2 linked regions of the Tamandua tetradactyla genome follow. The protein of the gene in region 1 interacts with the protein of each later gene in a pairwise test. Links are inferred from orthologs where the notes say so. Each region holds a gene or a part of one and is shown in the gene's direction. Other genes may lie near its edges.

Region 1 (5,946 bases):
CCCACCCACCCCCACCCCAGCCAGTGCTCTGTGGAAGTCACCCATTTCACTTTCTCCACCCACAGACTCACTGTCAGGCTTGGGGTCATGAGGAAGGAGCTTCTGAGCAATTTGAAAGATGGTGTCTGCTAAGCTATGAGGCCTGCAAGGACTCCAGACAGCCTACCCTGTAGCAGAGAGCAATGCACCCAAAGAAGGAAGGAAGTTTTCTCACTGGGGGAAGGAGGGCTTGTGATTACAAGCATCAGGGAGTGACTCAGCACTCAGAGGAAACCATGAGATGCTTGTCAGTCTTCACCCAGGGCCTCCTTTTGAAAACACCTTCAAGGTGGGAGAACAGCTCGGGGAACGGCAAGCCCCCTTCCACAATGAGACAAGGAAGGCTGTGTGGGAACCTCCTGAATGAATGAAGGGACAGCCAGATCCCACTCACCCCAGTCATCCAGCACATGGGCTCTGCTTCCAGCCCCAGCTCAATCACACCTGTTGCCTGGAGAGGGGAGGGAGGAGGGATAGGGAACAGGAACAGGGAGTCCATGTGGCTGATCCCCCTGGCCCCCCTGGAGTATGTCCTCAGGCCCAGTGGAAATAGAGTGGGCAGGGAAATGTGAGCCCATTAGGGAGCTGGAAATGGGGAGGGAAAAGGACACAGCCCCCCTTCCCAAAGCCAATCTCCCTTCCCAGGCCAGGCCAAGCTAGAGGTCTCCTAACTTTCTCTGGCCTCTTGACTTGAAGCCTGAGCAGAAGAACCTTAGCACTTGACCAAGAAAGGGTGTGAGAGGGATAAAGGTTGAGAGAGGGGTGTAAGGTGGGAGTAACTACCACATATTGAAGACCTACTGTGTGCTCTCTTTCAATCCTCACAACAGTGCTGTGGGATAGGTACTCAACAACTCTTAACAGATGAGGAGTCTGAGGCTTAAGAGGTCAAGTGATTATAAAGGCTATGGAGCCGAATAGTGAGCTCCTTTTGGCATAAGAGGTATTGGCATTTGATTGTCCAGATTTGAATCCTAGCGTTGCCATTATTAGCTGTATTATTCAGGGCAAATTACTTTATCTCTCTGTGCTTCCATCTCCTCTTCTTTAAAATGGAAATAAAAATACATATTTCATAAAGTCGTTGGACGATCAAGTGAATTAACATTTATAAAGTGCTTAGACAGGGACTTGTGCAAAGTAAGAACTCTGGAAATATTATTATGTTATTTAGCAGAAATTGCAACCAGGCGTAAAGAGTAGAAACTCCAATACACTGCCTCAGATCCAGCATCTTTCTTACTCATAACTCCTCCCTTTCTGAAGCCTCCTTGTCTTTACTCACAGCTGTCACCTCTCACCCTGAACAGACCCCCTCTTGCCATCTCCTCCAACTTGGCAGAGTCATCTCTGTATTACCCAGTGCTAGGAGTCCCCTACTAGTCCCCTACTCCTAGAAGACAAATCCTCAGACTCTGCTGACCTCAGTCCCAGAAAAGGGGCCCACCCACGGGCTGGCTGCTCACCCCTGAATAGCAGGTGCCTGTGGTCCAAACTAGGAGGCAGGGGTCCAGATTGAAGCAGTGTCTTTAATTTGTTCATTCATTAGAAATTTCTTATGAACCAGACACTAGAGCAGGTACTGGAACACAGTGGTAAACAAGATAGGCCCAGCACCCACCCTCATGAAACTTACAGTTTAGGCAGTAACGATAATAATAAACAAGCCATTATTATATATGAAAGGAAATTTGGCCTCGGGGGCAAACTTAGGACTTAGGAATCCAGCGATGTGATTCAGAGTTGGGAGGAGAGGGTCTTTGGGAGCCCCAGTCAGGGAGGGAGTCTCTGCTCTAAGAATCTGCTGGATGTAGCCGGTGTTTGTGTGTGTCCGTCCTCTGTGAGCACCTGAATCTGAATCTCTAATCTAGATACTAGAGGTTATTTCCAGGACTGCTTTGTTGTCTCTTGTTTTGCACAGCACAGCCTCCTCCCTCCCTCCTCCACCCCTCTAGATCTAGGCTATTTATTCCTAGTGACAAGCCTGAGGATCCCAGGGGGGGTGGCCTTAAGGACCCGGAGGGGCCCTGTGTTCCTGGCAGGCATGCAGCCCTCTCTCTTGGGCACAGGGAGGAAGCAAGCCAGAGGATCAAAAACTGGCAGGGGGGTGGGGGTTGGCAGGGTGGTGTTTGTTCTCTCACACAGGCACGCACCACCCCTCCTTCAGGGCCCCATCCACTCACCCCCCCCCCCCCCAAGAAGCTCAAAGACCGTGGGGCCAAGGATTAGGGTCTCCCCTGGGCCTCAAAGGTCAAAACTATTCCTGGGCACTGTGGAAGCAGAGGCAGGGCTTCTCCGTGCCAAACTGCAGCCTGAGGTGGGAAGGTGATTAGCTCTGATTTTGCTACTCAGAGTTGTGGGATGAAGCCCTTTAAAGGTCAGGGCCCCATAGGCGGGCCCTCTCTTCACCCCATGTTTCCAGAGAACACCTCAGTCTTGGAGTCAAAGCAGAGTCAAGACCACCCCTCCTCCAGGACAGACTCAGGCCTCCTTCACACACTTGGGCTGCAACCTCCTGGGGGTAAACTAGGGTGGGGGGGACACAAGGACTGAATGAAGACACTTTCGTCCCCAAATGGACCCTGAACTGCTGGGTCCTGTACCCCTTTTCCTGGGATTGAATACAGCAGGTCCCCGCTTGCAGTTGGGGGAATGGGATGTGGGGGGGGGGGGCGGGTAAGGAGAGAGACTAGCAAGGCTGAAAGCAGGGGGCACGGCCGGGTATTGGCTACGGTAGAAGGACTGGGAGAGTCAGGTTGGGGTGGGGGCGGGCTCAAATCTAAAGGAGCGGTGGGGGCGGGGTCTGGCCCCCGCAGCCGGGATGGGGGGCCAGGGGCGGGGTCCGCACCCCGCCAGCGGGAATGGGGGTGGGGGGAGGGCAGGGGCCGGGGGCGGGGTCCGGGCGGGGCGGGCTCCCGCGCTCACTTCCTCGGGGAGGGGTTGGGGCCGCGCTCCTACTCGCCCACAGTCCGGCTCACAGCCCACAGCCTCGCCGGCAGCTCGCTCGGTCCCTGCTCGACCCCGCGGGCAGGTAGGAGCCGCCGAGGGACGCGGCCCCGGGTTCCCGGCCCCACCCGCGCAAGCGCTGCCCCGGGCTAGGAGGTGAGCTCCGCGCCGAGCCGGCTCGGAATCCTGGCCCCTGCAGAGGGCTAAGGGCAGCTGCGGGTCCCAGCCCCCGCCCCCCGCCCAGGTCTACCGCCGTGGGCGCGTGACGAGGCGTACGCCTGGAGTGGGGGGCGCCGGGGTCTCCCAGCACCGGACCGGACAGCCTCGGACCCTCGGGCGGGGCGGGGGCTGCGGCAGGATTTGGGCGGGGGAGGGGACGAAGTTTGGAATACAAAAGCTAGGCTATAGAGAGAGACAGGGACTCTGGCCTGGGGAGACCGGGGGGGTGGGGTACGAGAAACTGAGGCTGACCGAAACCTCAGTGGAGCGAGACGCTGAGACAGAGACAGGGACACGAGCGACAGACTTAAGCTCCTGGCTGCAGACAGGGGGCTACACAGATATTCGGAATAGGAGCAGAGTCTTGGATACACAGTCAGGGAGACAGATGCGAAGCACAGGGGCAAATCTGGGTTTTGTGGAGCACTTTCACAAAAAGCACCGATATGACTCCATGAATACATTGCTAGGGCTCCTCCCAGGGCCTCGGAGGGGCCTGGGTAAGTGAGGGGTCCTGAAGCTTCAACTTCATTAGCTTATGGAAAATCGGCCTCTGCAAGGCCTACGGAGACATAGAGTAGCGATGCTAAGGGACAGAGATAGTGACTTGGATGCACAGAGACAGAAATCAGAGAAACAAGACGCTCAGCAGGATAGAGACACTGTGAGACTAAGACTTTGGTGTATAGAGATAGAAATTCAGAGCAGTAGCAGCCCCCACTCGGAGATAGCCATTTGGACATACAGTGACACCCCCCCCCCAAAACATAAAGACAATTGCTGGGAACAGAGCTAGAAAGAAAAAGGGTGAGATTTAATGGAGGCAGAAGGACGGGGGCATGCTGACAGCTTCCAAGACAGACCCTGAGATGCCAGGCCTGAAAAGATTGGAGAATCAGGATGTGGGGAAACAGAAACTGTGAGCCTACTGAACCTTCAGGAGACAGAGGACCTGACGTGGTAAGACTGAGACCAAGAAGGAGCCCGATGGACACACGCAGCCATCAAGACAGTGTGAATTATTTTTAAACTCAAATCTTGGACACGCTGCTTTAGCCCTGGGGGACCCGGGGTGAATGCACTGTTCCTCTCCTATCCCCAGGGCAGCTGCTGGATCCTGCTCCCCTCCCCTCCCCCATCCCATCCCCAAACTGCTCTGACTTCTAGGCCCCATAGGGGGAGGGGAGGGACTGGGGTGAGTTTGGGGTTGGTGCCTGGTAGCTGGGGTGGGGGGAGGAAGGGAGTTGGTTTCTCCCCTAAGTCTCCTGTCAGCTCCTGGGGGCTGGGGGAGGGCTGTGTTCTGATCCTGACTCACAGCTGTGGGGCCTGGCCAGGGCCCTCCTGGACAGTGGGGGCGAGAAGGGGGAACAGAAGGGCTGAGCAGTTGGCATGGGTAGTTGGAAAGGCCTCTGGGTGTCTTCCAGTTGCAGAGCTGGCAGCTGGGGGTTCAATGGGGAAAAGAGCCAAACTGCAGTTCTAGTGACATAGCCAGGCATCTCCTGTCCCCCTGCCCTTAAATTCTGACTACCCCGTCCACCGTCACCACAGTCCTCTCCCAAAGGGTTGGAAGGCAGGAGTGCTAGACTCTGACTACCCGAGTGACCTTGGCATGCTCCTGCCCTGGCCGTGGCCTCCTCATGCTTACCTGTAAAATGAGCTGGAGAATCTACCCGCCTGCCCTTGGGGAGATCTGATGAGATGGTGGGTGTGATGCATCTGTGGGAAGCAGAGGAGCATGCAGGTATGTTGACATGTGTCCCTGTATGAGGACTCTCACTGCAGTTAGAATGACTGGGATGGAGCCACCTCTGGCCCCACTGGTCTCTTCAGCAAACCTATGGGCCTGAGGCCTCTTCTGTTCTCCCAGAAGAACTGGGGGTTCTGTCTACATTCTCTCCCCGGGCTTACTCTGAGAATGTCAGATTTAAAAAACGAAGAACAAAAAGACGCTCAGGGAGCTTAAGTGACTTGTCCAAGGTCACCCAGTTTGTAAGTGAGGGAGCCAGGATTCAAACCCAGGTTTATGATTTCACAGCTCAAACATCTCCACACCACAAACCACAGCCCAGTATCCAGCCAGTCTGAGCTCCTGGAGTGTTACTGGGAGGTGCCAGGTGTGTGTGTCTAGGTCAGGATGTGTGTGTGTATCAGTGGGGGCAGGGGCTGACAGCCATCTGCCAGACGGAGCATTTCCCCTCAACCCCCAGCCAGGAAGGAGTACAAGGCTGACTCCCTCCACAGTCCCTGCCAGGGAAAGGGGCCAGGGGTGGGGGTGGGGGCAAGGGAGGAAGGGGGATGGGCAGAGACAGGTGGGCCTTGATAGTGCCCTTCACTCTGTCCTCACCAGAGCCCAGCTGGATTGACTAGGGGATTCTGGGAAGGAACCAAGCCACACCCATACCCTATTTGGGGTGCCCTGTCTCACAGTGGTGACTGCCTACCACAGGGCGGACCCAGGGCTAGCCTGGGCCTGGGAAGATGGCTGCTGCTGCCGGCTAGCAAGAAAGGAAGGAAAGGGCCCAGGGCACTGTCTGACAGACCACTCCATGGGTGACCCCTGCTGCCCAGTGGCAGATAGCCCAGACCAGGCTCAGATGTTGGGCTGCCAAAGGAAAATCTGGCCTAAGTGGGGAGGAGGAGTTGAGAGGGAGGAGCTCCTCCACCTAGCATAGCCCCCACCCCAGGAGTCCCATTCTAAAGACAGCCCCTTGAGTCGTCTCTTGTGCTGGTCTGTAGTGCAAA
Region 2 (5,946 bases), on another chromosome or scaffold:
AAGCTGACATCTGTGCATCTCAGCTTGCCAGCTGCAGTGACACATGCCACACGGGGGGCTCAAACCCCCAGCCTCTATGGTCTCGCGGTTTCAGAGGCTAGAAGTGCAACGCCCTTCTGTAGAGCCCCCTCTGTAGAGGCCCATGACATGGATGCAGGACCCCCAGCCCCCACCCCCGAAAGGCGTGTGCGAGACCCTGTTCACCCAGGAGCCAGATCCTTAACCGGCCCAAGCTCACAGGCATGCAACCTCACGCCTCTGCGTCTGGGCTGCTCCGTGGACTGGACACCCCAGCCCCTTGGCTGCCTGCCAGGAGCAGTCCAGGGAACCTCATGGCATGGCTGTTGGACTCCAAATGCTAGCGCTGGAGCTGGGCCTGGGACTCCCACGACTTCACGACCGCTGCATTCTGTGGGACCGAGTGGCCACAGCTCCGCCCCCCAGCTCCAAGAGGGAGGAATGGACCCCGCTTTGTGATGGGGGAGCAGCAGGAAATCGATGGCGGATCTTTGGGGAGCAGCCGCCTCACGGCATCTGCTGGAGCACGAGTCCCAGGGAGGCTTCCCAGCTTCTGCTCTGGGCACTGTCCCTGACCACATGGCCAGTCTGTTGTGGAATGGACGAATTAGGAGCTTGCCCAAATTGGGGGTGCATTTTTCTGTAGGTCCTGCTCAATTTGGAGATTCTCCAAAATAAGTTCAGAGACTGGGTTATTCAACCATCCTTCCTTCCCTTCCTCTCCTTCCCTTGCCTCTCTCTTCCTCTTTCTCCCTCCCTCTTTAGTTTTCCATTTGTGTGGATTTGTGGTGGGTTGGAGCTGTAGGCACCCTGGAAAAGCACGTTTGTAAAAGTTAATCCATTCCAGTGGGTGTGAACTGTTTGTAAGTAGGACCTTTTGATGAGACTACTTCAGTCAAGGTGTGTGCCGGGTTTGAAACTATTATGTACCCCAGAAAAGCCATGTTTTAATCCTGATCCAATCTTGAGGGGCCAGACCTATCGTTTAGGGTTTAAACTTTGATTGGATTGTTTTCATAGAGGTGTGACATGCCCAATTGTGGGTGTGGCCTTTTGCTTAGATGGAGATGTGACTCCACCCTTTCCAGGTGGGTCTTGATTCGTTTACTAGACTCCTTTAAAAGGGAAAACATTTTGGAGAAATCTCAGAGGCAGATGCTTGGGGAACAGTTTCTTCAGAGCTGACAGAGACACGGATGTTTAGAGACGCTTGGAGTGCCGACAGAGAGAGCAGATGCCTAGACACAGGCAGATCCCAGCAGACGTCACTATGTGCCTTGTGCCTTTTCATGAGATGCTAAGTAAGCCAGAACATGTGCCTTGCCACGTGACAGAGGAGCCGAGGGAAGCCAAGAGATGAAAGCCAGCCTTGCAGAAGCAACGTGAGGAACCCCACAGGAACAGAGGCTGAAAGCAGCAGAGCCCAGGAGCAAGGGGCCAGCAGATGTCAGCCATGTGGCGACCCAGCTGACAGATGTGTTTCTGACCCACCGACCTTCCTTGAATTAAGGTATTTTACCTGGATGCCTTAGTTTGGACATTTTTATAGGCTTAGAACTATAAACATGTTAACTTATTAAATTCCCCCTTTTAAAAGCCGCTCCAGTTCTGGTATATTGCATTCCAGCAGCTTCCAAACTACTGTACATGTGGATGCGACAGAGCATCCAAGCTGCAGATGGCCAGTGTGCTGGCCCTGAGGTGGTGGCCGCTGGGACTACTTGGAGGAGCGAGAGGGCCCGTGCGGGGTCTGGGGCCACGCAGGTGGGGTGGCGGCATGGACAGCGTGGGGATTGGAATGTGGGCAAAAATTGGAATGTGGCCAGAACATTCTCCGGTTGCCACAGCCACCCCGGAGCCATTTGGGTGTTGCGAGAGGAGGACGTCGGTCTGAGTGGCACATGGGGGACCAAGGGCAGGGCTCACGCAGCGGCCGCCGCACCTCCAAGGGTGTGAGTGGGTCTGACGCAGGGCGGGATGACAGTGCCCTGGGGCTCCGGGCCGCCGGGTTCGGGGTCCCGGGGCTCAAGGACCCCAAGTACCAGGACGTGGAGGATGAGGGCCCGGGATCTGAAAACCAGGAGGAGGAGGAGGAGGAGGAGGCTGTGTCCGAGGAGGACATGGGGGGAGAGTTCCTGGACACCCAGAACCCGGAAGGGGCCCTTTCGGAGCTGGAGAGGGTCCTGGAGCCCAGCTCAGACGAGGATGCTCCCGAAGTGAGGTAGGCGTGGGTGGGGGCCGGGCTGGGGGGCGCTTGGGGGTGCTTGGGAGAGGGGGAAGGGCGGACCCCATGCAAGACCACCCCACAGTCCCCCCCATGCCCCCTCCATGCCTGTGGCTTGGATCTTCTGGACGCCAGGGAGAGGTTGGTTTGTGGATTGTCTTCGAGACTCCTCCTGGGTCTCTTCCCAGGTCTTCTGGGGTTTCCAGGGGTCTCCTCCTGGGGCCTCCCCCTGAGGGTAGCCAGGTGGGGGTGGGCAGTGCCCCTCCCCAACCTTTGAGCTGAAAGTCAGCCAGCACCACCCTTGTCCTGGAGGTGACCGGAGGGCGGTAGGAAAGGCTGGGGCTGGGGTCGGGCGTCCCCGCCAGAGAGGCAAAAGGGGGAGAGAAAACATCTCCCAGATCCAAAGTTTCCCAGCGTCGCAAATTGCCCGACGCTTCAGGAGTGGTTAGGAGAAATATGTGGCAGGCGATTTGGGGGACCGATTCTGGACAGAGCTCCTTGGTGGCCCCAAAGATCTAGGCTTGTCATGTCGGGTGAGGGGTGGCGAGTCCAGCCCCAGGGTCCGGCCCCCCCGGGGGAGGAGCAGAGGCTCGTGCGAGGCCCTCCAGCTCGGCTCCCGCTGTCCCCAAGCCGGCTCTCCGCCACCCAGGAGGCGCCCCACGCCTGCAGGCCCAAGGGAAAGCGGAGGAGGAGACGGGTGCTCGAGCTGGCCAAACCCAAGACTAACTGGCAAGTCTTGAAAGACAGGTGAGGGATCTTCAGAGGTGCAGTCTCCCAGTCCCCTCGGTTTCCCCCACCCCCGTCTCCCCTCCGTCAGCACGGGGGAGCCAGGGCGCCAGGTGGGCTGGGTGGCGACCGAAGGAGCGAGAGGAGGTCCAGAGCAAAGGGCGCTGGGGCCTCGGCCCCCGTCTCCTGGCAGGATGGGCTGCACTGCCTGGATGTCCCCTTGCAAAATGACCTTGCAGTTCTCCCTCTATTGGTAAGTCTGGGGGCTCCCTCTGTTGGAGCTGCCCCCCCCCTCCAGGGCCAACGTCAGGGGAAAGGCTCCCAGTGGGTCCCTGGGCCAGTGCCGCTGTGGCCAGGCGGACTGGGCAGTTTCCTGGGTGCCAGTGTCTCTGTGCCCCAGCCTGGCTCTGGGGGCTCCCAGTGGCTGCCTTATTGTCCTTCGGTGACCGCCCCTCCCCTGTTGCCCTCCAGTTCTGCCTGCCCTTCCCATCCCCCTGTGGCCCTGCCTGCTGTCCCCCTCCACGTCTGTGTGTTCAGGGGGCACCCAAGCCTCTGTTTCAGCGCAGGGTGGCACCCCTCTGAGCCACCCCTGGCTGTATTCCAGGCCATCCGTGTACTGGACGGAGAGGTTTCTCGAGGACACCACCCTGTCGGTCACGGTGCCTGGTAAGCCCGTTGCACGTTCCAGGGTGCAGGCCGGGGGTCAGCGGGGCGGCCCGGTCCCAACCCTGGGTGCTGGTCCTGGTGGGTGGTCCTGGGCCAGGAGCTGGGGCAAGGTGCAGGGGCGGGGCTGGGGGGGGGCCGGGAGCTGGGGCAGGGGGGGTGGGGGGCAGGGGTGCTGCTCACCCCACCCCATCCTGGCCCAGCTGGGATCCCAAGACCACCTGGGAGGCCCTGAGCTCCATCCCCATCTCCCAGAGGTCTCTGCAGCCTGTTCCCTCTCCCATCTCTAGTCTCTGTCCCTCAGCTGAGGTTGCATGCCAGGAGTGAGAGTATGAGACAAACTCTCCAGCAGAAATCCGCATTTGCACCCCAGCCACACTGGGAATTAGCATTTAGTTTATAAGAAGACCCTTAGCCTCCGCTCCTATCATCATTTGCACAATTCTTTAGAGGAGTGGATCTGTTTCTTCAAATAAAATGTGCAAAGGAAGCTCATTATTGGAGAGAAGTGGCAGCATTTCCCTCTGTGGGGGCTGCACCCTCTCCCCAAAGTGAGCCCTAAGCCCAGACCAACTCCAGGCCAAGCCCGCTTCCCAGCCGGGGTCCTCGGACCCCTCTGGAACCTGTGAGGCCACCCCAGCCCTGGGACAGACTTCAGGCCTGCGAGCCTGACTCCCCCCAAGTGCGGACAGCAGACGCTGCCTACGTGCTGGGGTCCGGGGCTGGGCCGGTGGGCGGCGCACTCTTCACTTGTCTTCTGGGCTCTGAGTGACCATGGGCTCCCGTTTTGCGCAGCGGTGTCTCCTCGAGTGGAGGAGCTGTCACGACCAAAAAGGTTCTACCTGGAGTACTACAACAATAACAGGTAGGGAGCGAGCGCTGGGGGGGCTCTGGGAGGGCAGATTTGGGCAGCAGACCCCTCTTGGGTCCCCTGGCAGCGCATGGCACGGGAAAGGGCCGCCGGAGAAGCCAACCTCGAACTGGGCTTGGCCACAGCTGGACAATTGAACGACAACTCCTTTCCATCCCTTGGAACTTCCATGCCCATTAAAACTGATCCTTAGAGTTAGGTAGGCATATGTTGCGGTTTGCTAAAGCTGCCAGAATGCAAGACACCAGAGGTGGATCGGCTTTTAATAAAGGGATTTGTTTAATTAAAATTGTATAGTTCTTCCAAGGAAAGGCAACTAACTTTCATTTGAGTTTCTCTGTCCCATGGGAAGGCTCACGGCAAATGTCCGCTGACCTTCACTTCCGGCTTCTGGATTCCAGTGGTTTTCCCTCAGGCGATTCCTTTCTGCGTCTCCAAATGTCTGGGCTGAGCTGCGAGTGCTGACATGAGGGATGCTGAGCTGCTCGGGCTGTGCTGTGTTGAGCTCTCTCTTGACCTCTCTTTTAAGCCTCCAGCTAATGAAATTAAATGTCACCCATTGTGGAAGGCACTCCCCTTAGCTGAGTGTGGATAGAGGAATTTCACACACTGAATACCTACGTACAAAGACGTCATCACCTGGCCAATTTGACACCTGAACCTATCTGTCACAGCATGCATTTTAATTCCATATCTTGATGCATGCAAGAAAAGGAAGAAAGATGTGGCTGAGATAAATTCGCTGCACTGGGTCCAACTCATTTGAATCACTTTTCAACTCTAGGGTGTTTTGTGCCCTTCCCATACTCCTTTCACAATTGTCCGTGTCCACAGTCAGTTTTCATTGTAATGCTGGGTCATCATGGAATCTCTTTGAAGACAATTTAAACTACACCTGTAGAGCCAGGAAGGCGCCGAATTTGTTGGAAGTGGTTGCAGCAGGAACCCGGGGGATCTCGAGGTGGCATAACTACAGACCTTCCACCGTCTGGCTGAGAGCATTTACGAGCTGCTTTCCAACCTCAGAAATGCCAAAATGTGAAACGAGTCTGCCTTGGGATTGGTGACATGTGGCTTTATTTCTGGGGCAAAGGCGTAGCTGAGGCCTAATTTCAGGGGGTGCAGCCCTGGCAGGAGTAGCGCCCCCCCCCCTCCCGCCAATAGGCAGGCCTGAGCCTGCAGAGTTGGGGTGCCCTGGGGGCATTCTCAGCCCTTGAGCACTGTGAGTGGCTTCTTTGAGGAATCCTTTCCTGGAGGTATTTTCAGAGCTCTCAATCTTCCCGGGCGCTCCCCAGTCCTCCGCAGCGGACAGGAGTGGAGGGGTAGGTGACACGCGCCCGGGGAAGCAGGGACCGAGATGTGGGTTTCCCCCAGGACGACGCCCATCTGGTCCATCCCTCGGCCCACCCTGGAGTACCAGCCGTCCAGCCGCTTGAAGGAACTG

What was found. The genes of interacting proteins can lie anywhere in the genome.
Region 2: the proteins of FHL3 (region 1) and SPMAP2 interact in binary tests that used the Homo sapiens proteins (3 or more experiments, as listed by UniProt). The two-hybrid records come from large-scale screens. The link is inferred for Tamandua tetradactyla from reciprocal best matches to the Homo sapiens genes FHL3 and SPMAP2.

The regions. Positions count from the first base shown.
Region 1 is NC_135328.1:187,329,486-187,335,431, forward strand, and holds the start of FHL3 (four and a half LIM domains protein 3), read left to right. Parts: upstream 1-2,444; 5' UTR 2,445-2,560; intron 2,561-2,983; exon of another isoform or gene 2,984-3,141; intron 3,142-4,432; exon of another isoform or gene 4,433-4,945; intron 4,946-5,504; exon of another isoform or gene 5,505-5,946. UniProt on the Homo sapiens protein: Recruited by SOX15 to FOXK1 promoters where it acts as a transcriptional coactivator of FOXK1.
Region 2 is NC_135337.1:82,526,131-82,532,076, forward strand, and holds the start of SPMAP2 (sperm microtubule associated protein 2), read left to right. Parts: upstream 1-1,865; 5' UTR 1,866-1,919; coding exon 1,920-2,239; intron 2,240-2,872; coding exon 2,873-2,989; intron 2,990-3,161; coding exon 3,162-3,221; intron 3,222-3,572; coding exon 3,573-3,634; intron 3,635-4,426; coding exon 4,427-4,496; intron 4,497-5,876; coding exon 5,877-5,946. UniProt on the Homo sapiens protein: May be involved (but not essential) in spermatogenesis.